7 linked regions of the Canis lupus familiaris genome follow. The protein of the gene in region 3 interacts with the protein of the main gene of each other region in a pairwise test. Links are inferred from orthologs where the notes say so. Each region holds a gene or a part of one and is shown on either strand. Other genes may lie near its edges. The genes, in order: FBLN1, NELL2, HOXA1, FAM221A, EFEMP2, SPRY1 and EGFL7.

Evidence for each region.
Region 1: the proteins of HOXA1 (region 3) and FBLN1 interact in binary tests that used the Homo sapiens proteins (3 or more experiments, as listed by UniProt). The link is inferred for Canis lupus familiaris from reciprocal best matches to the Homo sapiens genes HOXA1 and FBLN1.
Region 2: the proteins of HOXA1 (region 3) and NELL2 interact in binary tests that used the Homo sapiens proteins (3 or more experiments, as listed by UniProt). The link is inferred for Canis lupus familiaris from reciprocal best matches to the Homo sapiens genes HOXA1 and NELL2.
Region 4: the proteins of HOXA1 (region 3) and FAM221A interact in binary tests that used the Homo sapiens proteins (3 or more experiments, as listed by UniProt). The link is inferred for Canis lupus familiaris from reciprocal best matches to the Homo sapiens genes HOXA1 and FAM221A.
Region 5: the proteins of HOXA1 (region 3) and EFEMP2 interact in a two-hybrid assay, tested with the Homo sapiens proteins (2 studies listed by BioGRID and IntAct). The link is inferred for Canis lupus familiaris from reciprocal best matches to the Homo sapiens genes HOXA1 and EFEMP2.
Region 6: the proteins of HOXA1 (region 3) and SPRY1 interact in binary tests that used the Homo sapiens proteins (3 or more experiments, as listed by UniProt). The two-hybrid records come from large-scale screens. The link is inferred for Canis lupus familiaris from reciprocal best matches to the Homo sapiens genes HOXA1 and SPRY1.
Region 7: the proteins of HOXA1 (region 3) and EGFL7 interact in binary tests that used the Homo sapiens proteins (3 or more experiments, as listed by UniProt). The link is inferred for Canis lupus familiaris from reciprocal best matches to the Homo sapiens genes HOXA1 and EGFL7.

The regions. Positions count from the first base shown.
Region 1 is NC_049231.1:21,496,126-21,499,914, forward strand, and holds part of FBLN1 (fibulin-1), read right to left. Parts: intron 2,842-3,789; coding exon 2,782-2,841; intron 1,387-2,781; coding exon 1,285-1,386; intron 708-1,284; coding exon 570-707; intron 1-569. UniProt on the Homo sapiens protein: Incorporated into fibronectin-containing matrix fibers. May play a role in cell adhesion and migration along protein fibers within the extracellular matrix (ECM).
Region 2 is NC_049248.1:37,245,390-37,249,803, reverse strand, and holds the start of NELL2 (protein kinase C-binding protein NELL2), read left to right. Parts: upstream 1-1,388; 5' UTR 1,389-1,453; intron 1,454-4,414. UniProt on the Homo sapiens protein: Plays multiple roles in neural tissues, regulates neuronal proliferation, survival, differentiation, polarization, as well as axon guidance and synaptic functions.
Region 3 is NC_049235.1:40,366,355-40,370,831, forward strand, and holds the start of HOXA1 (homeobox protein Hox-A1), read right to left. Parts: upstream 2,824-4,477; 5' UTR 2,527-2,823; coding exon of another isoform or gene 1,877-2,526; exon of another isoform or gene 508-1,876; coding exon of another isoform or gene 395-507; exon of another isoform or gene 253-394; coding exon of another isoform or gene 134-252; exon of another isoform or gene 41-133; coding exon of another isoform or gene 20-40; exon of another isoform or gene 1-19. Other genes in the region: WAS/WASL-interacting protein family member 1-like, read left to right, coding at 20-40, 134-252, 395-507, 1,877-2,526. UniProt on the Homo sapiens protein: Sequence-specific transcription factor. Regulates multiple developmental processes including brainstem, inner and outer ear, abducens nerve and cardiovascular development and morphogenesis as well as cognition and behavior.
Region 4 is NC_049235.1:37,402,410-37,406,711, reverse strand, and holds the start of FAM221A (protein FAM221A), read right to left. Parts: upstream 2,976-4,302; 5' UTR 2,900-2,975; coding exon 2,835-2,899; intron 1-2,834.
Region 5 is NC_049239.1:51,895,971-51,898,562, forward strand, and holds the end of EFEMP2 (EGF-containing fibulin-like extracellular matrix protein 2), read left to right. Parts: coding exon 1-98; intron 99-185; coding exon 186-312; intron 313-578; coding exon 579-774; intron 775-1,651; coding exon 1,652-1,813; 3' UTR 1,814-1,955; downstream 1,956-2,592. UniProt on the Homo sapiens protein: Plays a crucial role in elastic fiber formation in tissue, and in the formation of ultrastructural connections between elastic laminae and smooth muscle cells in the aorta, therefore participates in terminal differentiation and maturation of smooth muscle cell (SMC) and in the mechanical properties and wall integrity maintenance of the aorta.
Region 6 is NC_049240.1:17,792,635-17,796,860, reverse strand, and holds the start of SPRY1 (protein sprouty homolog 1), read left to right. Parts: upstream 1-1,201; 5' UTR 1,202-1,368; intron 1,369-3,822; exon of another isoform or gene 3,823-4,092; intron 4,093-4,226. UniProt on the Homo sapiens protein: Inhibits fibroblast growth factor (FGF)-induced retinal lens fiber differentiation, probably by inhibiting FGF-mediated phosphorylation of ERK1/2. Inhibits TGFB-induced epithelial-to-mesenchymal transition in lens epithelial cells.
Region 7 is NC_049230.1:48,880,379-48,883,937, forward strand, and holds part of EGFL7 (epidermal growth factor-like protein 7), read right to left. Parts: exon of another isoform or gene 3,535-3,559; intron 3,434-3,534; exon of another isoform or gene 3,376-3,433; intron 924-3,375; coding exon 802-923; intron 543-801; coding exon 426-542; intron 1-425. UniProt on the Homo sapiens protein: Regulates vascular tubulogenesis in vivo. Inhibits platelet-derived growth factor (PDGF)-BB-induced smooth muscle cell migration and promotes endothelial cell adhesion to the extracellular matrix and angiogenesis.

The sequences.
Region 1 (3,789 bases), on a different chromosome or scaffold from region 3:
TAACTCAACCAGAATGTTCACACAAGTGGTTTTGTCATTCTGAAGGGCTGGAAACCCTCAGAAGAAAACTATGTTCTAATAGATCCTCATCAAAGCCTTATCTGCCAAATAACATCTATGGCTTGGTGGGGAAAAGGCCAGCAGCCAGAAATGTCATGTTTTTATGCAGCGGAAGAGACTATGCTTTGAACTTCAAGGAAGCCTGGAGTCAGATGGAAGGCAGCTGTTGTATAAAAAAAAAAATTTTTTTTTTTTTTTTTTTTTTTTTTTTTTTGCGTGGTGGGTAGAAAGTCCATGTGAGCACCTGGAATTCACCTCTGCTCTTGTTTTGAAATGATCCTGCCCTGAACCTTTTCAGAAGTGCAAACTCACCCTTGTCATTAACTCAACCTTACAGTAAAGAAGGTAAATCTTTACTAACAATATAGCTGGCCAGTGCCCCCCCAGGAAGTCCTGGGGCCCCGGGGCGCCAAGGGAGCCCAGAGCCCGGGGAGCCCGGTGCTGCCTTTAGCAGCACATCCTATCTACTCCTGGGGAGCTGAGGTGTGTAGGCTCGGAGCATGTTATACCTTTGCAGTCATTGTCCTCTGTGAGTTCATAGCCAGTCCCACAGCTGCTGTCTCTCTGGCAGCGGAAAGAGCCCACCGTATTGACGCAGGACTCTCCGAGCCGGCAGTTGTGGTTGCCCGTGATGCATTCATTGATATCTAGGAGAGACAGAGGCAAAGCAGGAGTAACCAGCCAGAACCATGGCCCCCCTGAGCTTTAACAAAAGGAATGTACCAGAAGCATGGGGCAACTGGGTCCCAGCATCTGTGAAGTGCCCTCCGCCACGTGCATATTCGGGATGGAAGGGGTCCTGGGCACTCATTACCAATGGCATCCTCCCCCTGCTACGTCTCAGATCTATTGCTCCCTCTGAGCACCTGCTAAACACATGCCAGGCCCCGAACTGGAGTCATGTGATCATTAAGGCCTCCCCCAGGAGAAGCGATCACCTGCCTCCATCTCCCCCACCTCAAGAGGGGCTGAGGGACTTGCTGAGGGCCAGAGCCTGGTCAGACCCCAAAGCCAACCCTCTTTCCCGACACTGTATTCATATGTTCCTGGAGGAGAGCCGTGGCTGGGCGCCACGCGCTGTAGACTCCAGGGAATGCTGTTCTTCACCCACAGATGGGGCCCCGACGTGCGCCAAGTGGGGCCTGCCCAGGTGTCAATCGGAGGCCGAGGCTCCCAGTGCGGCTGCGTGCCGTTGTGCTGTCGCTGGAGCTCAGTGACCGTTACCTTCACAGGACACGCTGTCAGGCAGCAGCTGGTAGCCCACGAAGCAAGAGCACACGACCTCCTCGCCCGTGTCCCGGCACTGCTGCTTGCAGGGCCCCCCGCCTGGGATCAGAGCAAATCAGAGCGAATGTTAGCCAGGAGCCCAACACACACCAGAGACCTTCTGGGTTTCCGGTTCTGTTTGGACTGGGCCAGAGCAAATGCACTCAGGGTGGACAACATACAAAGGCAGGCTCCCCATCGTGGAGCCCAGCCTCTCTGGCCTCGTACCCCCTCCCCTCTCATGGGAGACCCCCAGGATCCGGCCCTGGGCAAACCCCAGGGCTGCTGCTTCAGGTCTGAGCCCTGGTCCAACAAGCTGGCGGCATGCAGGGCCATCCCTGCCGGTTGTAGTGAGGCTGGGAGGGACAAGGCGGAGAAGCCAGTGATGCTGCTGGCTTCGTGCCCAGCACAGACACGGAGGGGCAGTCCCGTGAGGCCCCTCTCCCTGCAGAGGTGAGCTGTGATGGCCTTCTGGGTGGCCCTGCTACCTCCCCTCCACCCATGCTTCCCACGGGGCAGCTGAGTGATGCTCAAAGAGCAGATCTCCCCGGGACAAACCTCCACCAACTAGAGCCGCTACCACAGTTCTGACCACTGCCCGGGGCCCGATGACCCCGGCCCGCCTCCCCAGCCTCTCCCTCTGCCCCCACCGCACCCCTCCCTGCACCATGGCCCACCAGCTGCGGTGGGTCTGGGTGTGCACGTCTCCGCTCCTGCTGCCCAAATCTCCGTCCACCCTCACTCGTCGCAAACCAGCTACTTCCTCCCCCAGGAAGACCCTCCCACCCACCCCCACACCCCCAGGGAGCTTTCTGGGCTCTCTGCCCTCCACCAGTCCCACCCCTACCCCCCACCCCGCCCCTGTGCCAACTGTCCCTGTGCGCTGACCACATCATTTTGTGATTACACTGGCTCCCAATTAACGCTCCAACCACAGGCAGGGCAAGGCTCCGAATGAAGCTTTGGAGACGACTTGCCAGTCTAGACATGTGGGAATGCTCCGGGAAAGAGAAATAAAGTTTTATCATCTGAAAAACAAATCTGCCAGGCCCGTTGTGCTCACTTTACGTTTGCAAACGTCTCCCTTGCGAGACACGGATACGTGGACACGGTCCCTGGCACTGCTGGGGCTCCAGGACACAAAGTCAAGCAATACTCACCCCTCCCCAGATGGTCCCCCTCCCCGGAGCCTGTGTTTAGGGGGTCGCCATAGTGGGGAGGCTTGTGATGCCCACTTCCCGCGTGGCCTCCTCCCTGTGCACCCACCAGTCCCAGGCTTGGAGGGAAGGAGGAGGTGGGGAGCCCAGGAGTGCCGGGGGGATGGGGCAGAGGGACCTCAGCGGACTCCAAGCCAAAGGGCTCTTCCCAGGAGAACCCGAGTGAAACGAGAGGTCAAGCTCCCAGTGGGATTAGTGCCGTGTCCCCTGGGGTGGGGGACGGTTACCAGGGCCTCACCTCTGCAGCGGTCATTCAGGTATGGGTCCTCCTGTTCCTCCTCGATCTCCGAAATCTTGGCTGAGGGGAAAGAGGGGCAAAAGGGACATTTACCCAAACGCGGTGTCTCATCTCGTTTCTGCAGAAACCCGGAATAAATACTCCCCCTCCTTATAAATAGCAGGCAGTTGTGCCCATTTGGGGAGCTCGGTGCCCAAACGGCATGGGGGTCAGGCAACCTGCCTCACTTGCCTATTTCAGCAAATGCAGCCACGGCCCCCAGACCTTCAACGGTGCACCTGGTAAAGGCTTGTTGTCATGGGTTGAATGGGGTCTCCCCCCACAAAGATGGTGCAGCTCTAACCTCCAGCACCTATGGCTGTGACCCTTCCCTGGAGCAGACTGTTTGCAGAGGACGGAGCTAAGGGGCGTTAGGGTGGGGTCCGAGAGGCCGTGTCTGTGTCCTTAGAGAAAGAGGAGGGATGTCTGGGTGGCTCAGCGGCTGAGCGGCTGCCTTTAGCTCAGGGTGTGACCCTGGGGTCCCGGGATCGAGTCCCACACCAGGGTCCCTGCAGGGAGCCTGCTTCTCCCTCTGCCTGTGTCTCTGCCTCTCTCTCTGTGTCTCTCATGAATAAATAAAATCTTTAAAAATAAAAAAATAAAAAAAAAGAAAGAAAGGGGAAACCGGAGATAGACACACACGGAGGAGCAATGACGTGAAGACAGGCAGGAGATGCACCAGCCAAGGAGCACGCGAGGCCACCAGAAGCCAGAAGAGCCCAGCCTGGATCTGCGGCCTCAGAGGGACGTAGCCCTGCCATCACCTTGATCGGGGGCATCTGGCCTCCAGACCGGGAGACAGAACATTTCTGTTGCTTAAGCTCCCCCCACACCAACCCCAGTCTGCGGAGCCCCAGGAAATGCACTGCGAAGTAGCCGGGCATCAGCAGGGACTCACTGGGTGCACTCGGACAGGGGCCCGAGCTCTGCTCTGTGGGCCGAGCACTCGGCAGAGCCTTCAACAGGGCA
Region 2 (4,414 bases), on a different chromosome or scaffold from region 3:
AACACACAGATGAAAGTTCTGTTTGGGCATATCAGATGTTCTAAGAGGGGGATTAGATAGATAGGCTACCTTCTGATGTTCATGAGAAAGATTAAAAAAATCTATATCCAGAGTACAAAAGACAGCAGTTTTAGGAGCAGTAGGTTTTCCTGTGGCATCTCATATTTGGTCTGGCTCTTATTGATCTGGAGTCTTGGTAGGTGGAGGTGCCAGATTTTATTTTCTTTTTATTTACTTATTTATGTTTAAAGATTTTACTTATTTATTTATGAGACACACAGAGAGAGAGAGAGAGAGAGGCAGAGACACAGACCGAGGGAGAAGCAGGCTCCATGCAGGGAGCCTGACATGGGACTCGATCCCGGGACTCCAGGCTCAGGCCCTGGGCCAAAGGCAGAAACGCTCAACCGCTGAGCCACCCAGGGATCCCCAGCATTTTATTAAAGGCAGCTAGGGACAGCACTGAATGATAACCGCCCAGACTCTCAGAGATCCCAGTTGTATTAGATTGAATAAAAATAACAAGTAGACCTTCCTTCCATCAACTGTGTCCTATTTCTGAAGCACTTTGTATATCAGACTCTATATTTTACAGGTAAGGTTAGAGAGACTAAATATATTGCTCAAGGTATCATGCCAGGGGCAGCCCGGGTGGCTCAGTGGTTTAGCGCTGCCTGCAGCCCAGGGTGTGATCCTGGAGACCCAGGACCGAGTCCCATTTGGGGCTCCCTGCATGGGGCCTGCTTCTCCCTCTGCCTGTGCCTCTGCTTCTCTCTCTCCTCTCTGTGTATTCTTGAATAAATAAATAAAATCTTAAAAAAAAAAAAGATATCATGCTGGGAAACAGGGAAGCTGGAATGTGGACACCTATCTGTCTGGTCCCAAAGCCTGGATACATTCTGTTCTTTCCTGATTCCGACCTACAGCTTTTCTCCTTCAGGGCAACATCCTTGGGCATATGGGAAAAACCCAAATACATGTCTAGGTAGGAAGGTTTTTCTCTACTAAGCACGCCTCGCATCATTGACGCAGAAGCATCTTTGTCCAGCTCCAAATGCCAGAGGCCCACCCCCACATCCATTGGGGGTGCCTCTACTTTGGGCCCCTGTCAGGTACTGGCTGCTGTTTGGAACATGAACCTCATGGTGCAGCCGTTTCCTTCCACTGCCCCTAGAGGGCAGCCTGCAGGACCCAGCCCCCCCCACCCCACCCCCACCCAGGGCCCTCTAGCTCCGACCTTCCCGGGGAGGGGGTGGGGGGGATCGATGTTCCCAGGAACATTCTCCAGGCCCGGCAGGTGTTGCCCAGGGAAGCGGGGCCGTGTGACACACCTCGAGTCCCCCCCACCCCTCCTTAGCTTCCCTTTGGTGCTCCTGGGACACGGTCATCAGCCCTGCCCCAGCTCCAGGTGACTTCTCAGACCTGCCAGGTGTGCACTCCCGGATGCTACAGGGTAGGTTCTCTCACTGAATTTCAGGAAGGACCAAACACAGGTACCTAGAGGATGTGGCAGCGAGTCCAAAATTCACTTTGGTGTGTTCCACCCCAAAATGCACAGGGTGGTTTATTTAAGTTGAGTCCCAGAAGCAGCTCTGGGTTCCCCCAAGGTAAATATTTAAATGTAAATATAAATAAATATCAGTATCAATATTAAATATTATAAATATCAAGCTACTTAAATATCGTTCTAGTTACAATCTTAGGTTACATAGGGTAGTAGAATTATGGCTTTTTTTTTCTAGGGGAGTTTTTAGCTATCGAGTATATTTAAATAATATTGGCAAACTACCTAGTTTAATGCAGGGATGCTATCAAGGTTTTTTTTTTTTTTTTTTCCTCATGATTTTCATACAATCATGATGACTCAGCAGTTATTTCCTTGTTATTTAAAATCACGACTCTAAGTTATCATTATTTTGACATCTAGACATATGAATATGTGTCAAATATACTTTAACATGCGTATTTTGGTTATCAGGTATAGACACTAAGCATACATCACTCCATTTCGCTGCCTCCACTGGAGTTTACTGTTTTATTAATACGCGTGAAATAGATTAGTTTATTTAGAAAAGAAAAAATAGCTGCTGCTCTGAAGTGATTCAATAGAAAAGACTTTGTCAATACGTCCATACAGAAAAAGACGTGGATTCTCAATAAAATAGGAAATGACGTTACCATCAGGCATATTCTGTTTAAAACTACCCTGTTATTCACTTAACTATTAGAAACAAATCAAGGCGAATTTGGTTCGCTGAGAAAATATCTACAGGGTGAATCAGTACAGTGTTATGTGCTGTAAAGATGTAAATAGGAATATGGCCTGATTCCTGTCCTCGATGCTCGGGTGGGGTGGGGGAAATAAAGGCAAGTATCTAAATAACTTTTTAAAAAGACGTAACGGTGGAATGCCATTATCTTAGCAAAAGGAACTAACAATCCTAGAAATAAAAAAGAGAAACATTACAATTTAGATAGTGCTGGCAATGCTGCCCATCATTCCTCCCAGTGATTGCCTGGAGTGAGCGTGACAGGAAGCCTGAGAATCTTTGGTGCCTTCAGTTTGCCTCTGTTCTGGGTGTCTCTCAAGTGCGAGCATATCACTGAGCTGAGTGTGATTCTAATTTTTAAAGATATGCATATATGCATTTTTCATATAAAATGGACCCTAAAAGCAAGCCAACTACTTCATCTGGTGCTCAACCAAAGAGACAGGAATCTGTTCCAATGCTGGAGGAAAAACTGGCTGTGCTGAACCAGCTCGTGGTCTCCAGTGGAGGTCCTGTCGAAGGACTTTTCCAGGGTAATTTTGGTTATTCATGATTTTCTTGTGTCTGATTTTAGAGCCTGAGAGATGTGACTCTGTTGTAAGATATGTATCTTTGGAGAAATACACACAGCCTGAAAGGGCCTTGGGTGCCAGGTTAGGAGGTTTGACTTTCTTTAGCCATACAGTTGGAGCCTGTTAAAGGCTTCTGAATAAAGGAGCTTATGATACCAGGTTTCGGAAGATCAATTTGAAAATCAATTCTGGGAGCACCTGGGTGGCTCAGTCAGTTGAGCATCTGCCTTCGGCTCAGGTCATGATTTCAGGGTCCTGGGATCGAGTCCTGCATTGGGCTCCCTGCTTGGCAGGGAATCTGCTTCTCCTACCCGCCCCCACCCACCCCCCTGCTTGTACGCTCTCTCTGTAAAATAAATAAATAAAATATTAAAAAGAAAAGAAAATTCTAGGTGGACTGGAAGATGGGAAAACTGAGACAGAGAGGCACTTGAGAAGCTTTTATGATCCTAGAGAAGTAATGATTGTCAGGTCTAGAGTGGAGGTGGAATAAGTTAAACTTTCTGACTAGGATGGATAAGAAATAGAGATTTTAAGTTTGAGTGACTATGAAGTTGGTGGCTTCTTCTACAGAGTTAAGGAAATCAGAAGAACTGGTTTTGCTTGGGAAGATGAGTGGGATTTTAGATAGAATGTGAGATAACTATTGGAGACCTGGGTAGAAATAAAATGGTTCGTTGGACTACATTCTGTTTAGAAACAGCAGTTGAAATCACAATAATAAACAACATGGCTAATGAAGATTAGTCTCGTAGAAAGCAGGGAGAAGTCCTGCTGTTGGTTCTTGGGGATTACCTATCTTTGGAGACAGGAGGAAGAAAAGAAGCCATTAAGGACACTAATGAAAGAACATTATATATATATATATATATATATATATATATATATAATGTTATATAGATGGAGTAGGTATTATATATACACATATATATACACATTTATATATATTTATATTTATATATATATCGGGAAAGAGAATTTTAAAATAATTTTAAAGAGTTGAAAGAATTTATTTTATTTTATTTTTTTGAGTTGAAAGAATTTAAAAAGCAGTTAAATGTTGCTAAAAGTTCAAGAATTATATGGAATATAATGAACTAATTTTGGGGTAGAAGGAAGAAAAGAAAATAATAGGTGAATAAGAGGTTTCCTTTTTTTTTTGAGAAGAGATATTTTTAAAAATAGGACAGAGGTGAGATAATTTCAGGAAAAAGATAGCAAATGATTTTAAGTGCTTCTGAAATTTCAAGGAGAGATGGAAGTTTAGACCTATAATTAAGATATGTGGTCTATCCAAGGATTTTTTTTTCTGATTTATAAACTCGTGTGAGACTAACAAATATATAACCATCAGCTCATATTTACATGCAAATAGTTTATTCTCTATTTGCTCAAAATATTTTTATTTATTTATTTATTTATTTATTTATTTATTTATTTATTTATGAGACAGAGACATAGGCAGAGGGAGAAATGGGCTCCACGCAGGGAGCCCGATGCAGGACTCGATCCCAGGATTCCAGGATCATGCCTTGGCTCGAAGGCAGGTGCTAAACCACTGAGCCACCCAGG
Region 3 (4,477 bases):
CACGTGACTCCGCCAGCCAATGGCGGAGCCTCCTGCGAAAGTTTGCTGGCTCCCGCGGTGATGGATCACCGTTTCAGTGGCATTTAAATCCCCGGCGCTGCTCAGTCTAGGTGACGCGCAGTCGCCCCCCCAGGCAGCCCAGGCGGCGGCGGCAGCTGCGGCGGCTGCAGGGGCAGATTCGGAGCGCTGGGCCGAAGGGGAGCAGCCGCCACCCTCTGCGCGCGCCGACTGCGCTCTCCCCCCCTCCGGGAGGTGGGGGCTGGGAGGCATCCCCGTCTCCGCCCCCTCCCCACCGAGCACAGAAAGATGAACTGGCGAGAGGTGAGAAGGGAAGAGGGCTCCGTCTCTCCGGGGTCGGGAACCAGCGGGCCAGAGCTCGCCGCCCTGCCACCAGCTCGGGGCCCGAGCTCGCCGTGCGCGGAGCAGGAACGGCAGCTCCCCGGGCGCTTTTCAGTCCACAGTCCCTGCTGCGGTGCCGGGGCAGCGAGAAGCCCAGGGGACAGTGGCGTAGGACGAGGCTGGGCCACCAGCTCTTCAAGCTCGGAAGGGAGAGGGAAGTGGGCAGAGGATTGGCCTGCAGGACCCCAGGTGGGCGTGGAGGGGACAAGAGCAAGGGAGAAAAAAAACAAAAAAACAAAAAAAACCCTCCCTTCTCCAAGGAGGGTCTCCGAACCCTACTCCCTCCACCCTAACATTATTAGCAAGGCAATGAGAAGCTTCTGTAATTCGACGCCCGGGAGCGGGTGATTGGTAGTATTTCAGCTGGCCGGAAAAGGCCGGGGGTGGCCGGGCTCTTCGCCCTCCCTCTCTCCTCGCTCTCCGCCCCTTTCTCCTCCCCACTCGGCTTTGCTCCGGGAGCCCTACGGGATCCGGAGCAGCTCGGCCGCGGGATTTTGAAGGGTTGGAGGCGGGGGAGAAAGATGACGCTAGCGGACGTGGCCAGCGTGGGGGCCGGGCGGTGCGCTGCAGGCCATCTGCCGGCTCCCCCGGACCCAGGAGTCTGCGCGCTCCGGCAGGGGCCTCAAAGGGCGAGCCCGCAGCTCCAACAAAATACGCTGAGCTCCCCCCGCAACGGTGCTCGTTTTCTGCAGGGGGGATGTTGGGAGTGGTAGGGCCTCCTTTATCCACTGACCGCCCCCTCCCCTTTCTACTGCACGTCTGAGGTGGGGGGTAGGGGCTGGCAGGTGGGAGGGGCGGGGGACAGATGGCTGATGGTGGACGGGATATTTTCTTCTTCCCCAACACCTCCTCCCCTTTGTAACTGCCTGTGTAGTTCCTTGTGTGAACCTTCAAGTCTTTCCCTAGAGAGACACGTGCAAATCTGAGCGTCATCCCAGGCCAGGGGTCCTGTTTTCCATCACCCTCATCCTACCCTGATGCTGACGGGGTCGTTAATTGCTGTTTACTATTAGGTTTCGTGTCAACCCTTGGCTTGTAGAGAGAAAATGCCAAACTGAGACCGAGGATTGATGCATTCTTAGGTAAAAGAAATCCAGAGATCATCCAAGAAGCTTTGCAGCCAATGCAGCATAGATTTGTCTCTGACCCTGTGTACCACATCGGAATCGAACAGATAAAAGTAATTTGAGGATGGGGTTCCCACTCCCCTCTAGCTTTCCTTCCCCAGTTAGAAGAAGAAAGTTTTGCTCGAGGCAGGCACATTTCAAGTGTGTTAGTCAACCTTTCAGGGTTCTCCATCCTGTTCTCCACTTATAGAAGGCTTCCCCCCTCCCAAGTCGCCCCTTCCCCCAGGGGAAACTCTTGCAGAAGTCAGACTACGGATTCCCTCAGTAGCAAAGAAACATTTCCCCCCCAACATTTCCTTTTGAAATGGTATTTTTCAATGACCTTTGACCTATCCCCAACCCCGGTTAAGAGAGAGCATGGACAGGAAAGGTCACTCCTGCCCCAATTTCAGCACCTGGGGACGTTCATCTTCGAGAAGGGAAAAGGAAAGGCGGCCCTTCTGGAGGCGGCTTCTTTGGGAGCTCCAGGCTTCCAGCGACGGGGAGAGGAGGGGCTCCTGTCGGGAAGGAGGTGGAACGTGAGAGGGTCCGTGCTGGCATTGCGGACGATCTGCCTTCCGAACCAAAGGACGTCCTTTCCCCTGGCCTCACTCCTTTGTTGGCTTCTTCAGCCCGGGTTTGCGCAACCCCCTTGGCCGCAGGGCTCGCGCCACAAAGCGCCCCGGGCCGCAATCGCTCCCCTTCCTCTGCTAGTTCTCGGCCTCTGCGCTCCACTCCTTCCACTTCTCTTCCTCCCTCCGGGCCTCATTCCAGAGCCAGCACGGGTGGGGGTGTTTTTCTTGGGACCACATGCATGCGCTTGCACACAGGCCCGCAAGCGCTCGGGGCCGCGACCGACCCACCTCCGCGCACTGCTCCCGGCTCCCGGCTCCCGGCTCCCGGCCCGCCGGACTCTCGCAGCCCAGCCGGCTCCGCCCCGGTTGGCCGCCCGGAGCGCTGCTCTCCGGTGTGGCTTACAAAGGCAGGCTCCCCTGGCCTCGGGCCCGTAAGGCTTCCGTAGCTCGGTTCTTTCCCCACCCCCACGAAATCCTGGGGCTCACTCCGCCTTGCAGAAGACCCTGGGCCTCGGGGCGTGTAGGCCAGCGCCCCACGACTCGAGCTGAAGTCCCTTTAAATGCCCCGGGAGAGAGAGTGGGCGAGAGGAGAGCTCGATCGCTATTTAAACGAGGACCTGCGAGCGGCTTGCTGGGCTCAAAGCGCCTCTTCCAGGGCTCTGCTCTTAGCAAGGAAAGGAGCAAGGAGGAGACAAAACGCTGCCGAGGCCCGGAGCTGTTCATGGCATCCGCGGCTCAGCCAAGCTGTTGTTTTAAAAGAGCAATAAAAATGAATTATGACTAAACGCCTTCTAACTTAATGCTTTCGGACGGGGATCCCCGGCAAATACGTAAGAGGATTTTTATTTGTGCATGTGTTCCTGCAATTGATCTCTTTGATGACATTCTCATTCATAGAAAGCGTTTGATTTATGAGCGTAGGACGAATCGCAAACAGCAGCGGCTCAGCCGGGGCTGCGGCCGGGCCGCCCTGCTCAGTTCCGCGCCTGGAGCTGGAGACCCGCCCGGGTCCTCACACGCCTCGGCCGCTGCCAGGATTTAGGGGGCAAAAGGGTGGAGGAAGGTAGGGTGCAAACCCATGGAGAGAGATCGCGATTTCTTTGTAACTTCCGAGCCTTAGCTATTAAGAGCCGGGCTCCTAAATCAACCCGCCCCCCACACATGTTGCTTACACGCTGCGTTTTCTCACGGTAAGTGGCCATCGCGGCAGAGCTCAGTAAGGGAAAGATCAGCATGGGGAGATGTAAGAAGGGGGAAAGAACCAGAACAACCCAGTAACGTGCCCTAGATCACATTTTATTGATATTTTATTTAAAGTGCTTGTTCTCTTTCTTTCTAGAAACTGGGTTAATTTATAACCTAGGGCGCAGAAACTCTCCATTTAAAATCTCAACTTGGTAACCTGACTTCACAGCTTTAATGATCCATTATTTGCCATGTAAACAGATTTAAGAATGAAATATTGATTTTTCTGACCCTGAAAAAAAGAATCCTAGAATGACTGAACCAAAGGATTGGAAAGAACCCTTTCTGAAGTGCATTTTCCAGCTAGTAACCATTGTTTTGTTTTGTTTTTGTTTTTCTCTACCTTTTAGGTCTGTTTGCCTGGACCCATCAACAGCTGGGAGACTAATCAACCACACTGAAAATGTTTCCGGGATTGTGGGGGAGGGGTTGGAATGTAGATGTTTGAAACAAATGTGTATAAATAAATGAATTTTGATAACTTAGTTATTGACCTGAAGACTGGTAGCTTGTTAAAGAAACTCCATGTTCCTCCTTCCTGGAGTTGGGGGTTTCTGTAGGCACTTTATTTCGCCACTTTCAAAAGCTTGGGCTTGGCTCAGCTCTGGGGCTACCCAATTCTGTTTCTATCACCAATTTAAATCTATGGCTTGAACCTCTACACTGAAAAACCAAATCCATTCCCTTTAAAAAGAAAGAAAGAAAAAAAGGAAAGAAAAAAAAAACACTTCTCAGAAGTCCTAACCATTTTCTGGTTTTCTTTTTTGTTGTTGTCTGTTGAAGACTTTGAACATGCCCCCTTAATAAATATATTAAAATGGAAAAAGAAGATGGATTGTGACCAGAATTTTATTTACCAAGTTAGACTAAAAGAAGAAAAAGAAACCGTTATGAGCCTTGAGAAAGAGGGGGGAGAAAAAAATAAGAAGCTACTTATAGCAAAGGAGAATTTATTCTACCAAAAATACTCATGACAATGCATCCTAATGTAATACAAAAATAAAAAGAAAGTGAAGATACAATTATATGATCACTTTCTTGCAGGCCTCATATATTGCTTTCAGGAAATCACATAGAGGGTCGTTGGATTAGATTTAGAACAACTAAAACTCCAAAATAATCTGTAAAGATGGCTCTGAGACTGGATCAGGA
Region 4 (4,302 bases), about 3.0 Mb from region 3:
CTACAACAATAAAAACATCTCTTAAGCCTTGAATATTTATTATTCTACAACAATAAAAATTTATTTTAAGCCTTGAATATTTATTTTCTAGGTTAAAAACACTAAACTAAAATTAAACTATGCTTATAAAGTCAAAGGAAATGCTGCTTCAGCTTTGCTTTTTTTTTTTTTTTTTTTTTTTACATTAGGCTTATGTTAATAGCAAAATTACACACAATACTAGTAAAGCTTGGGACACCTGGGTGGCTCAGCGGTTGAGTGTCTGCCATTGGCTCAGGCTGTGATTTTGGGTCCCAGGATTGAGTCCCACATTGCAGGGGGCCTGCTTCTCCCTCTGCCTATGTCTCTGCCTCTCTCTTTCTGTGTCTTTCATGAATAAACAAAATCTTAAAAAAAACAAAAAACAAAAAACACTTTTTTAAAAAAAATAGTAGTAAAGCTTTTGCTTTCCAAGTAAAAGAGGATTATTAAAAAAAAAAAAAAAAAAAACTCTTGAACTCATGACATCTGACTTTACTGATCCAGGTTTACCACCGAACAATTACCGCAAATTCAATCTCATTTTCTCCTTTGATTCTGAAGCAAACATGTTCACACTTTTCAATAAAAACTGGAGCCTGGGATGCCTGAGTGGCTCAGCAGTTGAGCGTCTGCCTTTGGTTCAGGGCGTGATCCTGGGTCCTGGGATGAAGCTCCGCATTGGGCTCACTGCATGGAGCCTGCTTCTCCCTCTGCCTATGTCTCTGCTTCTTTCTGTGTCTCTCATGAATAAATAAAATTTTTTAAAAAATAAAAAAATTAAAGCTGATGCCTAACCTGCTAAAAAAAATCTAATATTTCCCTTCTTTAAAAATAGTACTCCTGGGACACCTGGGTGGCTCAGGAGGTTGAGCATCTGCCTTTGGCTCAGGGCATGATCCCTGGATCCCAGGATAATCATTGTTTAATTCCAAAACATCAACTTTAAAGTTTTATGGGAAAAATTAAGCTACCACTATTTCTTAATTTCTTAAGAAATTAAGAGTTGACATCCCTGGAGAAAAAGGAAGCGCAAGTAAAATAATTTATTCAGAATTGAAGAAATTTCTCCTTGAAAATATCACCCCTTAAAAGTCATGAAAGATGTTTGTTTGTAGGATGCTACTTAATTTTTTGTGCAATCCATACTTTTTCCATACTTTCAAGCCTTTAGCTGAGGTAGATAAATAAAACCAATGCAGAAGCTACGAAGCCATCACAACCTTCTTCCTTACTTAAATAATTTAGAAACACAATAGTAAAAAGGGGGGGGGGATTTTATTCTGAGAAAAGTTTTGGGTCATCTCACATTATAATAGCTGTCATGAAGTTTACCAATAGGTACTGAAAAAAATCAAAATCAATACAGGTCTTTAAAGATAGAGATCATTTGTATTTGCTAAGCCAAGCCAGCACAGCTCAAACTTCACAGTAATTACAGAATCCCCGAGGGATCTAGTTCAAATGCAGATCCTGATTAATAGGTCTGGAGTGGTTCTGAGAGTGCGCATTTCTAGCAAGGTCACAAGTGAGGCCTACACCACTGGTCCATGACTGCTACACTTTGAGTGGCAAGGCTCTAACTTTTATAGTGAATTCTTCCAGGTAACTGTATTTGCAAAAATCATTTTCCACCAGGTCTTGACATTTTCTGAACCAGACAAGAGACCATATCTGGAGGCTGACAGTCCACTTATCTAAACTAATTATCTAAGTAATCAACCAACACCAAGGCCCAGCAACTTACTCCCAGGAAAAAGCCCTGGAGGCTAAAGGAGCCGGCCCTGCCCTTGGTGAGGACTGGGTGGAAACCGTTCTGGGCACAGGACTCACGGCCTTACCTGGACCCACCAGACCCGGGGGGATGAGCCTGACTCACCAAGCTCCTCATTCTTACTTATCTGGCTCAGAATTACCAACCGTTTCTAGGTGTTACCCAAAACTTCCACCGGGACCATCAGAAGGAGCGGAGGCCAACTAAGCAAGCCGTTTGTCCTAGCAACCCTGGGTGATTTGGGGCGGCCGTCTTTAAGCAGAGCACCCCCTCTTGCTCAGACTTCTCAGGCGGGGCAGTGATTGCCTCACTTCCCGTGTACACACACACACACACACACTCTCCTCCCTCCGACCCCCTCCCTGGCCAAACGGCCTCCCCTCTCCTCCTCCCCGACCCCGACGCCCCTGGCGCCTTCAACCGTAGCCATATGCTCCTGCTGGTCCCTCTCCAGGAACTCCCACTCACCCAGTCTCCCAACTGCCAAAAACCTTTCTTGGGGAGACCAGAAAAAATAACATGTCTCCGCAGGTGCATCAGCCTTGGTCAGGGCCCAGGGCAGTGAGTCGCATCCTCAAACCAAAGCGGCAGCTATGTTTCCATCTCCGTGAGAGGAGTTTCTCGGGAACCCCCGCACCACCACCAGTCTTTCTCCTAAAACCAGCACCTCGGGGTTGGGAGCATTTGGAAGCTCACGACACACCCTATTGCTAAACCACCATGCAAACGACGAGGCCCGAGCAGTCCAAGCGTAACTCGTCACAGGCCACTTAGAAAAACACAGTTGCACCTCCGCACAAATCTAAGAGTTAATAATCCCTCCTGGAAGGGGTCGGAGCGGGAGATCTGTTAAACAGCCTCGGGAGAGACTTATTGCAACTACGGTGAGCTACGTGTCATTACAATATTACAAAAAGACGAAACTCCAATGAAGGTTTGTGAGCCTCCCGCAACAGCCGGGGATCAGATTCCGGGAGCCTCCTCCGGCGCGGGGGACGCGGCCCGCCTGCCTTCTCCTCGCCACGCCGAGCCGCAGCCTCACCTCCGGTACTCCAGGTAGTCGTCCACGGCCGCGGCGCCGCCGGAAGGTAAGGTCAGCCGCTCCATCGTCCGGGGAAGCGAGAGGCGGCCATGGGCGCGCCGGCTCGCGGGCCTCCCGGGAGCGAGGCCGGGCCCGCCCCTGCCGGCCGCGCCCCCGGCAGCCCGCCTCCCGATTGGCCGCGCCCCTGAGGGCCACGCCCCCTGCCGCCCGCCTCCGGATTGGCCTGCCCCTGCCGGCCACGCCCCCTGCCGCCCGCCTCCAGATTGGCCGTGCCCCCTGCCGGCCACGCCCCCCGCCGCCCGCCTCCGGATTGGCCTGCCCCTGCCGGCCACGCCCCCTGCCGCCCGCCTCCAGATTGGCCGTGCCCCCTGCCGGCCACGCCCCCCGCCGCCCGCCTCCGGATTGGCCTGCCCCTGCCGGCCACGCCCCCTGCCGCCCGCCTCCGGATTGGCCGGGCCGAGGACCGCGGCGGGGCGCGGGGTGCGCGCTTCCACCTGGCCGTGGCATCCCGGCGGGAGAAACCCGTCCCCTAGAGCAGCCCGAGCCGCCCGGATTGCTCTTTACCGCAGGCTCCAACCTGGCGCGGGTGCCTCTCCCTTTCCCGGGTCTCGCAGCTCTCCTTGTAGGGTAACAAGTGACGAGGGAGTGCGATGCCTTGCATATCGCGGACGCACAGAACATGGCTTAGTTCTTTGTACAGAGCTTTTCGCTGATATTGTGGTTTCAAAATTGGCATTTAAAAAACTGCAATTTAAAAAAATTAATAATAAATAAACATTTTTAAACTGCGATGTGGGGCGCCCGGGTGGCTCAGAAGGTTAAGCATGACCTGCCTTCGCTCGGGTCATGATCCCTGCGCCCTGGCATCCGGCCCCCCATGGGGACCCCTGCTCAGCTGGAAGCCTGCTCTCTCTCCCTCTGCTGCTCCCCCTGCTTATGCTCTCTCACCCTCTCAAATAAATAAATAAAATCTTCAAAAATTAAAATAAAAATTTTTTAAAACGGCAATGTAAATCAGCTAACTTAACAAATATAGCAGAAAGTGCCAGGCTATGTGAGCTGATAAAAAATTGGCAGGGGAGTGTCTATGTAGGCAAGTACAAGTTAATGAGTCTAGAGGGAAATAATTAAAATAGACAATGCAGTTGTAGGCTCTTCCAGTCAACTCTGACCAAAGAAGTCACTGACAACACTATGGAACAAAATAGAAAATATTACTCTAACATTTTATGAAAATGACACCTTTTCATTAAAATACTATATATGGTTTTAACTTTTGTTGTTTGTTTGTTTGTTTAAGTGTTGGCACACCTGGGTGGCTCAGTGGTTGAGCATCTCTGCCTTTGGCTCAGGTCGTGATCCCCAGGGTCCTGGGATCGTCCTACATAGACTTCCCGCAGGAAGCCTGCTTCTCCCTCTGCCTAATAAATACACAAAATCTTTTAAAAAATTAAAAGTGCCATGGGAC
Region 5 (2,592 bases), on a different chromosome or scaffold from region 3:
CAGTTACCTCTGCCAGTACCGCTGTGTCAACGAACCTGGCCGCTTCTCCTGCCATTGCCCGCAGGGCTACCAGCTGCTGGCCACACGCCTCTGCCAAGGTACAGGTTGCCCCAGTGGAGCAGGTAGGGTGGTATCGGGGGCTGGTGGCCTGACATCTGGGTTCCAGCCCCTTTCCCCTGATGCAGACATTGATGAGTGTGAGTCAGGCGCGCACCAGTGCTCTGAGGCCCAAACTTGTGTCAACTTCCATGGAGGCTACCGCTGTGTGGATACCAACCGTTGCGTGGAACCCTACGTCCAGGTGTCTGACAAGTGAGTCCATGGGACACCAGACACCCGCCCCCACACCCCCCGCCCGCAGAAACTACAACTCTCAGAGGGCTCTGTGGCTGACTGGCTGCTGTGCAGGCTGTCTAGTGCTCCAGGGCCTATGGGAATTGTAGTCTTTCATGACTAAACCATGCAAACAGTTCTAGAAGGAGTGGGAGAATCCTTTGGGGATACCTAGTTTTAGGAATGGGACCAAACTTGGGGTATAGGCCAGGACCTCATTTGTGTCCCCATTTTGGGGTTTCTAGTCGCTGCCTCTGTCCGGCCTCCAACCCCCTGTGCCGGGAGCAGCCCTCGTCTATTGTGCACCGCTACATGAGCATCACCTCAGAGCGGAGTGTGCCCGCCGATGTGTTCCAGATCCAAGCAACCTCTGTCTACCCTGGCGCCTACAATGCCTTTCAGATCCGTGCAGGAAACTCGCAAGGGGATTTCTACATTAGGGTAAGGCTTTCCCCTAATTGCACCCCTCAAGTGACATGCATAATCCAAAACTGAATTCCAGAAAACCTTAAGTGGGAGATTTGGCTCTACCCCTTTTCTCAAAGCCCTGTCCCCCCAGGAGGTGGAATTTCTGCAGAAAGGTAGGGGTATTCTAAATTCCCTTGCTACAAACTAACAAACTACAGGTTGTTAAATGCAGTTCCAATGAGGCACTTGGACACTGGGGTTTGAGTCCTGGCACTGGTTTCCATATCTGGCCTCTGATTTGTTCACTCTTAGAACAAGGCACTGGCATGAGAAGCCTGCCCAGGTAACAGGACACAACAGGGTCTGGGGAACACAAGCAGATGGAGCTGGGCCTTGGAGAGAGAGGCAGCAGGGGTTGGTGCAGGGGTCTGGCATCCAAGAATCCAGCTCGCTGCTGGTGGAGCTATTAGGGAGAGATCCAGGCATGACTCACGAGGAGAGGGGGCCAAGGGTTTATCTGATATTAGTCCTTGTTTTCTCTTTCTGCAATTGGATGCTCTGAAGGGAAGTCAGCCAGCTCCAGGTCACCAAAGACCCCACCACTCCCAAAAGTTTCCCACCTGGCCTTGCATCATCAGTTGACCCTGATTAGACAAAAGAACTAGATGGAAAGTGTGGGAAGAGCACCAGTGGGAAATTTCTGAGGGCAGGAGCCTGGGTGCATCAGTGACAAGATGTCAAGGGTATCAGAGCTGGATGAGAGCCTGGGGTCACAGCCTGCTAGGACTCTCCATTTCACAGCCAACTGATTGTGGGCTCAAGATATGGGATGGGGAGGTGAGGCTGGGGCAGGGGTCTTGGCATGTAGGTTGACACAATCTACATGTCCCCCACCCACTATGCCCTGCAGCAAATCAACAATGTCAGCGCCATGCTGGTCCTCGCCCGGCCTGTGACGGGCCCCCGGGAGTACGTGCTGGATCTGGAGATGGTCACCATGAATTCCCTCATGAGCTACCGGGCCAGTTCTGTACTGAGACTCACCGTCTTCGTGGGGGCCTATACTTTCTGAGGTGGGGGTGGGGAGCCCTCAGGGAGGGAGAGGCTTCCTGTGGCCCAAGAGCCTGGGGCTCAGGGATGACTGTGCTCGGCTGCAAGGGCAGATGCTGTTGTGAAGAGTAGAAAGAGAAAGGCAATAAAGGGAGAAAGAAGGAGTCCTGGTGGCTGAGGTGGGTGGGTAACACTGTAGTGAACCCCTGGACTGGGGAAGTGGCCAGGCTGTGGGAGGCAGGCCAATCACCTAAAGGGGGGTATCTCCATTCGGGCTCAGGGTGCCCCATAGATAGAAGTTGGGAACTGTGTCCCCAAGACCAGGATTGATCCATGTACCATGCACATCAGAATCGGTCTGAGAATGGAGGAGATGATAAGGCTACAGACTCCAGGGACCCAGCCCAGGAACTGGAGTTTGGTTTATAACTCTACTGTAGACATTGGAGGCCTTGGGTTCTAATCCCAGTTTGGCCTCAAACTATCAATTTGACTAAACCCTAGTAGATTCTTTCTGGGCATCAGTTTTCCAATCTATAAAATGAGGCAATTAAGATTAGTGCTTTCCACATATTTCTTTTCCAAAACACAGAACTTATTATGGAAGGATATTTGATCCTATCAGGGAACTCTGATGATATAAACTAGATTCAAAGTTGTAACGCCTCACTGACTCCATCTCCTTGGTGGTCTCAGTGCTCTCCCAGGGAACCCCAGGGTCCTTAGAGCTCAGTTTAAAAACCACTGGATCTGTTGGTCTCCCCAATTTCTGCCTGGATACTTCACAAAGTCCCTGGCATC
Region 6 (4,226 bases), on a different chromosome or scaffold from region 3:
ATGCTTTCTTCTTGTTGATGGTCTTAGCAATGCCCTAGCTTCCAAAAGAGGTTAATCCAAATACAACTTTAATGTTTTAAAGTGCTCAAACATTGAAAGTCTAGAAAACACTAGTTTCAACAGAATCATTTGTTATAGTAAAGAAGGAGCTTAAGCATTGAAAATTCCCATACCTAAATTTATACATGGTTTAGATTCTGGAGTTTTGTTTTGTTTGCCTTATTTTGTCAAAGACTAAGCTACTTATATCTAGTACCTGGAAAAAATACTTCTCTACTTACTATATATATTTTTGCTTTTTAGGTATTTTTTAAAAGGCTCTGTGGAGCCTTAACTTTCACATATAGTTCTCCTCACTGCAGCATAAAGTACACAATTTTTATAATAAATGTCTAAAATCCCATAATTTGTAAGAAAACAAAAGGTGAGTTTCCTACTGATTAAAATACTTTTTCCCCCCAGTAACACAACACATATCATTAAGAATTATAAAACTTCTTGGTAAATTATTTCTATTTTAATTGATTTCCAGTTGGCTGATTTTTAAAAATAAATGAGTTGGTTGCAGGTTTTTTTTTTTTTTTCCAAAATTATGGAAATCAATTACAAAATTGAAGGAAGTTGGGATTTTTAAATTCGATTTTTAGGAAATTATATCACAAGACAAGGTAGAGCACTTACTATAAAATCTACAGCAGGAAATTTCACCTTTATGAGGTAACGTTATATACATTTGCAGTAAGGAGTGTCGCCTTTTGAACTTTCACATTTCACACATTCTGAATTTGGCTTTAAATAGTAACTGTAACGTTACATTATCATCTTCTTAATATCAATATACATTTTCTCTCTAGCTGATCAGAAGTGTTGGCTTGGCATACGACTTTTTTTTTATCTTCTTTTATTCCTCAAAACTATTTTCTAATTCAACCTTAAAGACAGTGTCCGCCAATCCTTTGACTGAGACTGATGACGAAATTTAAAGGGTTCTTCTGTGACAAACTGCACTTGTAGGGTCTTTAGAGGCCATCTCCAATTTTTAGAGGATGTTTATCACCCACGAGTGTACAGGGCAACATTTCCAAGTTGGTACAGATGCACGAGAGAGGAAACGACAGTTGGAGAAATCCTGTTCCAGGTTTTCAGGCAGCCCGAATGATTGACATATGATATCACTGGAGGCGTGTCCTGGAGTGGAGGTGGAGGTGGAGGCGAGCTGAAATTCTGCGGAGCTGGAGTGGGATTGCTCTGTAAGGCACGCAGTGGTTTGCAGAGTGATAGCAACAGACAGAGCTCCTTACCCTGGATAAGGAACAGCTACAGTCGCTGTAAATGTGCCTGAAAAGCAATTTCCAATCTTTGCGTTAGGTAAGAACTGTTTCCTTCCTTTCATTCCGTAGGTATTTTAGGAAAGCTTAGGTGAGAAATGCTGGCTTTTGCAAGGAACTGAACATTTCTTTGAACTCGCTTTAGATCTAAGATTACTGGTTGCATTTCAAATTACCAGTAGCATTCCCAGTGCTAAAACGAATGCTCTTTAAAAAAGTAAACGCTACCGCTAAGAGGAAAAAGTAGGATCCTTTTCTTTTCTTTTCTTTTTCTTTTTTTTTTCCTTATCCGAACAAGTCTGAAGTCTGAAACGGTCGGTTGTGTGAAAAACAGGGTGGTTTTTGCCGAAGAGGGGCTGGCACTCGGTGTGTGGACCAGTACATGTTGGTTTAGGCATTGTTGGCGACCGAATCCCGAGCGGAGCGATTGTTTAAAACCTGAATTTCCCGTCCCCTGTGTATTGATTTCCAATGCGCAGAGGCGTTGCTTGAACGTTGTTTGAACTCCTGGCATTCCAAGGGGCAAAAGCACTTCGGCAAAACGTGCAAGACTGCATGTTACTTTGGTTCGCTGCTGACACGCCGACTGTGCGCCGGCCTGTCAATCACTGCGAGCAGCAACAGCCAGCACATGGCAGCGGGGCTGCGGGCGGCGGGCGGCGGGCGGCGGGCGGCGGGCGGGCGGGCGGGCGAGCTGGCGGGCAGCCCACCCCGCTCCCCGCTCCCCGCTCCCCGCTCCCCGCCGCCCGCGCGGCGCGTCCCGCTGCCTGCAAAGAAAGGGAAATTAATGTGCTGTTGTGTTTTGTTTTCCAATCGCCGATCCTCGGGAGCAGGCGTTCCGGCCGTGGAACCGGAGGGTCGGAGGACTGGGAGCGCGCGCTGCCCGGGAGAGGCGGACCCGCCAGGACCAGAGTCCCGGGGGCCGCTGTGCCCCCCACTTGCCCAGCGCGCGGGATCGGGAAAGTGCCTCGACCTGCGCGGGGGGGGGGGGGGGGTGCACGAAAGACGACGCCCCGCCTCTTCCCTTGGGAGGAATCCCCCCCAACCTCGCACCCTTCACCGCCACCCCTAAAACAGCGGGGCTAAAAAGCAAGACAAAACAAAACAAAAAAACCCAGAATATCCCCCGCACCCCGCCCCCGGGGGAGCCGCAGCCCCAGCCTCGCGGGCGTGCGCTCCCGGGCCGCGCCGGGGCCTGCTTGGTTCCGCGAGGCGCCCGGAGACGCCGGTTCGAGCCCCGTCCCCGGCGCCGCGGAGTCTCGAACGCCCGTGACGTGGGCTTTTCAGTCGTCGGGGGGCCGCCTCCTTCCTCGGCCGCGGGGAGCGCTCGGACCCGAGGGAGGACTGTCGCAGAGCACCGCGTGCCCCGGGGGCCCGGCCCGCGCGCTGGTCTCTGCCGTTTTCTGAGACTCGAGAGCCCTCTCGCAGGGGACCTTTTTTCCCCTTCCTGTTCTTTCTCTCCCCCCCCGGCTCGCGGGAAGGGGCTGCGGGAGAAGCCCGAGGTGGATGCGCCCGCGCCGCGCGGCGGGAGGGGGGTCCGCAGGAGTGTCCCCCGCAGCCGGGAGGGGGGTTGGCCCGGCCTCGCGTCCTCCCCGCCGCGCCTGATGCGGGTCGCGCCGCTCCGGCCGAGGTGAGTGTCCCGCGGCCTCCGGGCGCCGGCGGGGGGCGGGGGCGGGGGCGGGCGCGGGCGCCGCGCGGCAGGTGCGGGCCCCGGGGCTCGCGGCCCGTCCCCTTGAAGGGACGCCTCCGCGCCCAAGCGGGACTCGGGGCGCCTCGGGGGGTGTTGCCTCCGAGGAGCTGCCTCGCGCCGGCGGCGGGCTCCCGGGCGGGCTGTGGGCGCGGACGCGGCGGGGGGGGCGGGGGCAGGCGGGGAGCCCCGGAGCCCCCCCGCCGTCCGCGCTGACCCCTGCACAGAACCAGGCTGCGCCCGAGCCCGCCGCGCCTTCCTCCGCGTTTGGCGGGGCGAGGGGAGGGGAGGGGAGGGGAGGGGAGGGCGCTGCCGCTTTAAAAACGGGAAGTCCGCCCTCCTGAGGTAATGGTAACCTCAGCCTCCTCCCCTCCTCCTGCCCTGCCCGGAGAGAGGGAGCGAGCGAGAACTTGTTTTCATTCATAACTTTTTCCTTTTCCTTCCTCTCCGTCAACTATTTATTCGCCGCTCCCCTGCGCTCGGGTGCAGAGGGCGCAGCTCCGCCGCGGCAGCTGGCGGCGCCGCAGCACAGGGGAGCCTGCCCGCTCCTCCACGGGCGAGCTCGGCGCCCGCGCAGCCCCGGGGGCCCGCCACGCTCCGGAGGAGGCCTTGGGCGGCGCGCGCGCCGGGGCGGGCTGGAAGCGCCCGGGGCTCCCGGGAGGGCGCAGCCGCGAAGGTAGCGGCCGCCGAGGCCCGTCCCCGCGGGCGGCGCAGGTTGCCGGGGACGCACCGGGCGCCGGCGCCGCGGGGCACGGGCCGCCCCGCCTCACACCCGACGCGCCGCGCGGTCTCCCTGGCCGGGGGCCTCCACGGACTCGGGTACCACGATCGCGTGAAGCGCAGCGTCCAGGATGCGCCCGGCGCCCTCGCCCCGCTCCCCGTAGGCTCCGTGCTCCTGGGCGTGTGGGATCTGCCCGCGTGCCTCGGGATGCTCCGCCCCGCGAGCGCCCGGCTGCGAGCGCTTTGCAAGGAGGGATGAGGTCTGCGTGTGCCGAGGCTCGGGCTGTGCTCGCAGCCCCGGATTGCGGCGCTAGACCCGGCCGGTCGGCAGGGCGGTCCTGCTCTAGCTCGGAGAAGGTACAGTGGGACCCGGGGCGGGGGCGGGGGTCTCGGCTGCGAGGACGAGGGTCGGGACTCCGGGACGTCAACGTGCAAGGCTGGATCTGTCGGCTTTCAGCCCAGTTAATGCTGGAACGGACGTCTCGCAGCCT
Region 7 (3,559 bases), on a different chromosome or scaffold from region 3:
TCACACGGGCGGTTAGGCCATGAGAATGGCCTGGGTTGGGGGGGTGGGTTGTGGCACCAGGGTCTCCATCTGTGACCATCAGGGGCCTCTTGGGGAGAGGCTCCCACTGGAGCTCTGAGGCGGGTTTCTGGGGAGGCAGCCATCATCTCAAACATGTAAGAACTTGTAGCCAACACCCCAAAAGCAGAGGGCAGGAGACAGGGAGGGCAAACCCTCCAAAGATGCGGGGAGCACAAGTGCACCCCGGTGAGGACGCCTGTAGTTACTAAGACCGCCCAGTGCAGAGCGGGTGTCAGCCTCTGCCATCTACTCACATGGTCCTAGGGAGTCCCTGTGACCATGCTGGGCCCCGGGCTCCCCACCTTGGGGCACACTGCCCTCCTGGGCCCCAGGTGGCCGAGTGGCAGATGGGGAGGGGCACTCACCGGTAAGTGCTGCAGGCCCGGTGACCATCACAGGTGGTGAGGAAGGGCTGGTACACTCGCTGCACAAAAGACTCAGACTCAGGGCCCCTGGGAGCCCCGATGGCACACACCCTGCGGCTACAGAGCGGGGAGGCCAGCAAGTCAGTCCCACAGCTTCCAGCCCTGCGCCCAGACCCTCCCAGCCCCGCAACCAAGGGAGCCAAGAACCTGAGGAAGGGGCTTCCTGGCGCCACCACAGGAAAGACTCTCAGCAAGTGTGAAAACCACAGGACCAGCCCTGGCTCCCCGAGTCCTGGGGTTGCCCTGAGGGCAGCTGGCTGCCCACCCCCACCGCGGCGGCACCTTGAGGCCCGAGCCCCCCACGGCTCTGACTCACCCAGGCCGGAAGACGTGCTCAGTGCCACCCACTGCCAGCACCAGAAACCACAGCAGGAGCAGCTCCCTAGAGTCACACATGGCCCACGTCTGCAGGTGCAACGGCCTTCTCCTCCGGGTGGCCTGCAGCCAAAGGCACAGCCCCATAAACCCATCTGCAGACCCCTCCTCACCCCGTGCCTCTGGGGGAGGCTGTTCCCTGGCCCAGTGTAGCCTCTCTGCTGGCACCACCCCCTGCGGCCTCTGGGGGGGCGGGGAAGCCCCCAAAGACAGAGGCAGTTCCCCCTCCTGCAACCTGCCTGCCCCTGCAGGTCACAAGCAGCCTGGAACCACAGAAGGGCCGCGATGGCAGGAACAGAAGCACACCCCTGCCCCCCCGACCCCCGCCTGGGGCCAGAGGCAACATCTGCAGCTCCTGCAAAGTTCACTTGAGGAGGTGGGGGCCCAGGAGAGCACCTGGACCAGCTCTCCCTGCCCTGGTTGGACATAGCGCCCTTGTGTCCTGGCCGGGCAGTCCCACGTCAGTCTGCACATGGGTGGTGGTGGTGGGAACAGCCAGCCCAGGGCCTTGGCCTTCTGGCCTTCAGTGTCTTCATTTGCAACGGGGAGCCACGGGGGAGGCACGGGAGTGTATGAAGGGTGCAGGTGCTCCATATGAGGAGCCATATGGTCCCTCTCAGAGTGGGGCAGAGACTGCACGAGATGGAGTCACTCCTATGCTGGGGTCCCACCGGTCTGGTCCAGGGCTCCCAGGACAGTGTGGGGGGAAAGGGGATGACTGGAGCAGCCCTCCCCACATGCCAGTGGAGCCAAAGCCATCCCTCTGTCCTAGGGAAGGGGCACGGACGCGGGGGACCTGAGGAAGCATTCATTCCTCAGAATGTGAGAAAGCCCAGCCCAGAATTAATGGTCCGCGACGTGCCTGCCTGCCTGCCTACCTGCCGTGCCTGCCTGCCTGCCTACCTGCAGAGGGGCCTGTGTGGTGGGCTGGGGATAGGGGTGGGGGGTGCTGCCGTGCACACGTGAGGCTCCAGGCACCCCATCAGAGGCCCCCAAGGGGCTGACTTCCACCCAAGTGGGCAGCCCCTGGCCCTGCAGGGCATCCAGCAGGAAGGACACAGAGGATAGCTGGACTGCTTGCTGTGTGGCAGAAGGTAGAATCAGGGGAGGGTCGCCCTGTCTCTGGAACTCGGTTCCCTCAGATACCACTAGGGTCTCAGAGGCCCCTTGTCCAGCCCTGATAGTTGGCCCCATGAAGAGTGACCACCATGGGCACTAACTGAGCCCTCCGGCCTGCCAAGCCGAAGCCCAAGGGGAGGGTCCACATGGCCGGCAGGCAGTGGATCCTTGCTCCGGTCCCCTGCACTTCATGGACCTGGGGAGGCGGGAGGCAGCTGGGGGGCGGGAGGAGTCCTCTGTGGACCCTCTGTTCTCTGTCGGTGGCCCAAGCAGCAAAGCCAAGGTGCCAGATCTTAGTTTGGGGACAGTGGGGTGCTTCTCAGCAGTTCGGGGCAGGGGCATGACCTGTGGGTCAGGGTGCTCTGGGAACGGGCCCAGGGGGAGCACACGACTAGGGGCACTCCTAGGGGTCTCAGCAAGAATTGAAACTACAGGAACAGGTGGCACAGGGCTGGGAAGGTAGGGGTGGGTCCAGGGCCCTGGGTGGGGGAGGGGGAGCTGGGTAGGAGCATAGCAGGGCTCCACAGACCCTGTGCTTACCTGCGCTGGGTAAGGCCCAACTCTGCGAGGCCAACTGCCCCGCGGATACCACCCTAGCACCTGCCCTGCTCATGGAAAGCCGCTTACAAGGGGACCATGCTTTAAAACAGGAGAGACTCAATTTCTCAAGTCCTGCCCTCTGGGGCCGCAGGAGGCCAATGGCGCTACCTCCCCGGTGCTGGCCTGGCAGTCTCATTTCCCTCTGCAGCCCAGCTGGGCGGGGGAGATACGGCGGGGGTGGGGGGGCGGGTGGCCGCAGCGCCGCAGCTGAGAAGCAACTGTGTCCCCTCCTCCCTGAGGGTCAGCAGGAGCCCATCCTGCCACCTCCCTCCCCAGCCACCTGCCCGCGCTGCAAGCTCGCGGGGGCCCACCCGGGAGGGCTGGCTCCGCAGAGGGAGGGGCCTGACTCTCCGCACCGCGGCGGCCCGGAGCAGGGGCGGGGGGGGGGGGTGCTCTGGACCCTGGGAGGGCAGAAAGGCGGGTGACAAGAGGCGGGGGGGGGGGCGGGGGGCGAAGCGTCCCCTCCGCCGCCGGCCCCAAGCCGCCCGTCCTCCTGCACGCCGGATCCCCGGGGGAGGGGGCGAGGATGGAGAGAGACACGGGGTCTGGGGCCGGCGAGGCCCCGGGCCAGGCCCTGCGGGTCGCTCAGGCCCCGGACGCGGGTGCGGGGCTGCGCCGCGCCCCCGGCCCGGGCCCCGGCCCCCACATCCCCCAGCGGCCCGGCTCGTAGCCTGGTGCCGGCAGGGGGCGCCCTTTCCCGGGGCCCCTGGGCCCATTCTCGGGACCGGGCGCAGGATCCGGGCAGAGCCGGGGGTCCTGTTCCCGCGCGGCCCCCCGGCGCGCCCGGCCCGCTCACCTCTCGCTCCCCGCGGTCGCTCCGCGTCGCCCCCCAGCTCCGCGCGCGCCCCGGCTCCCGCCCTCCCCCGCCCCCGGCGCGCGGCGAGCAGACCCCGCCCCCCGCGCTCCCCGCGCTCCCCGCGCCCCCCGGCCCCGCGCTCGCTCCCTCCGCACTCACCGCCCGAGCCGGGCGCGCACGCGCC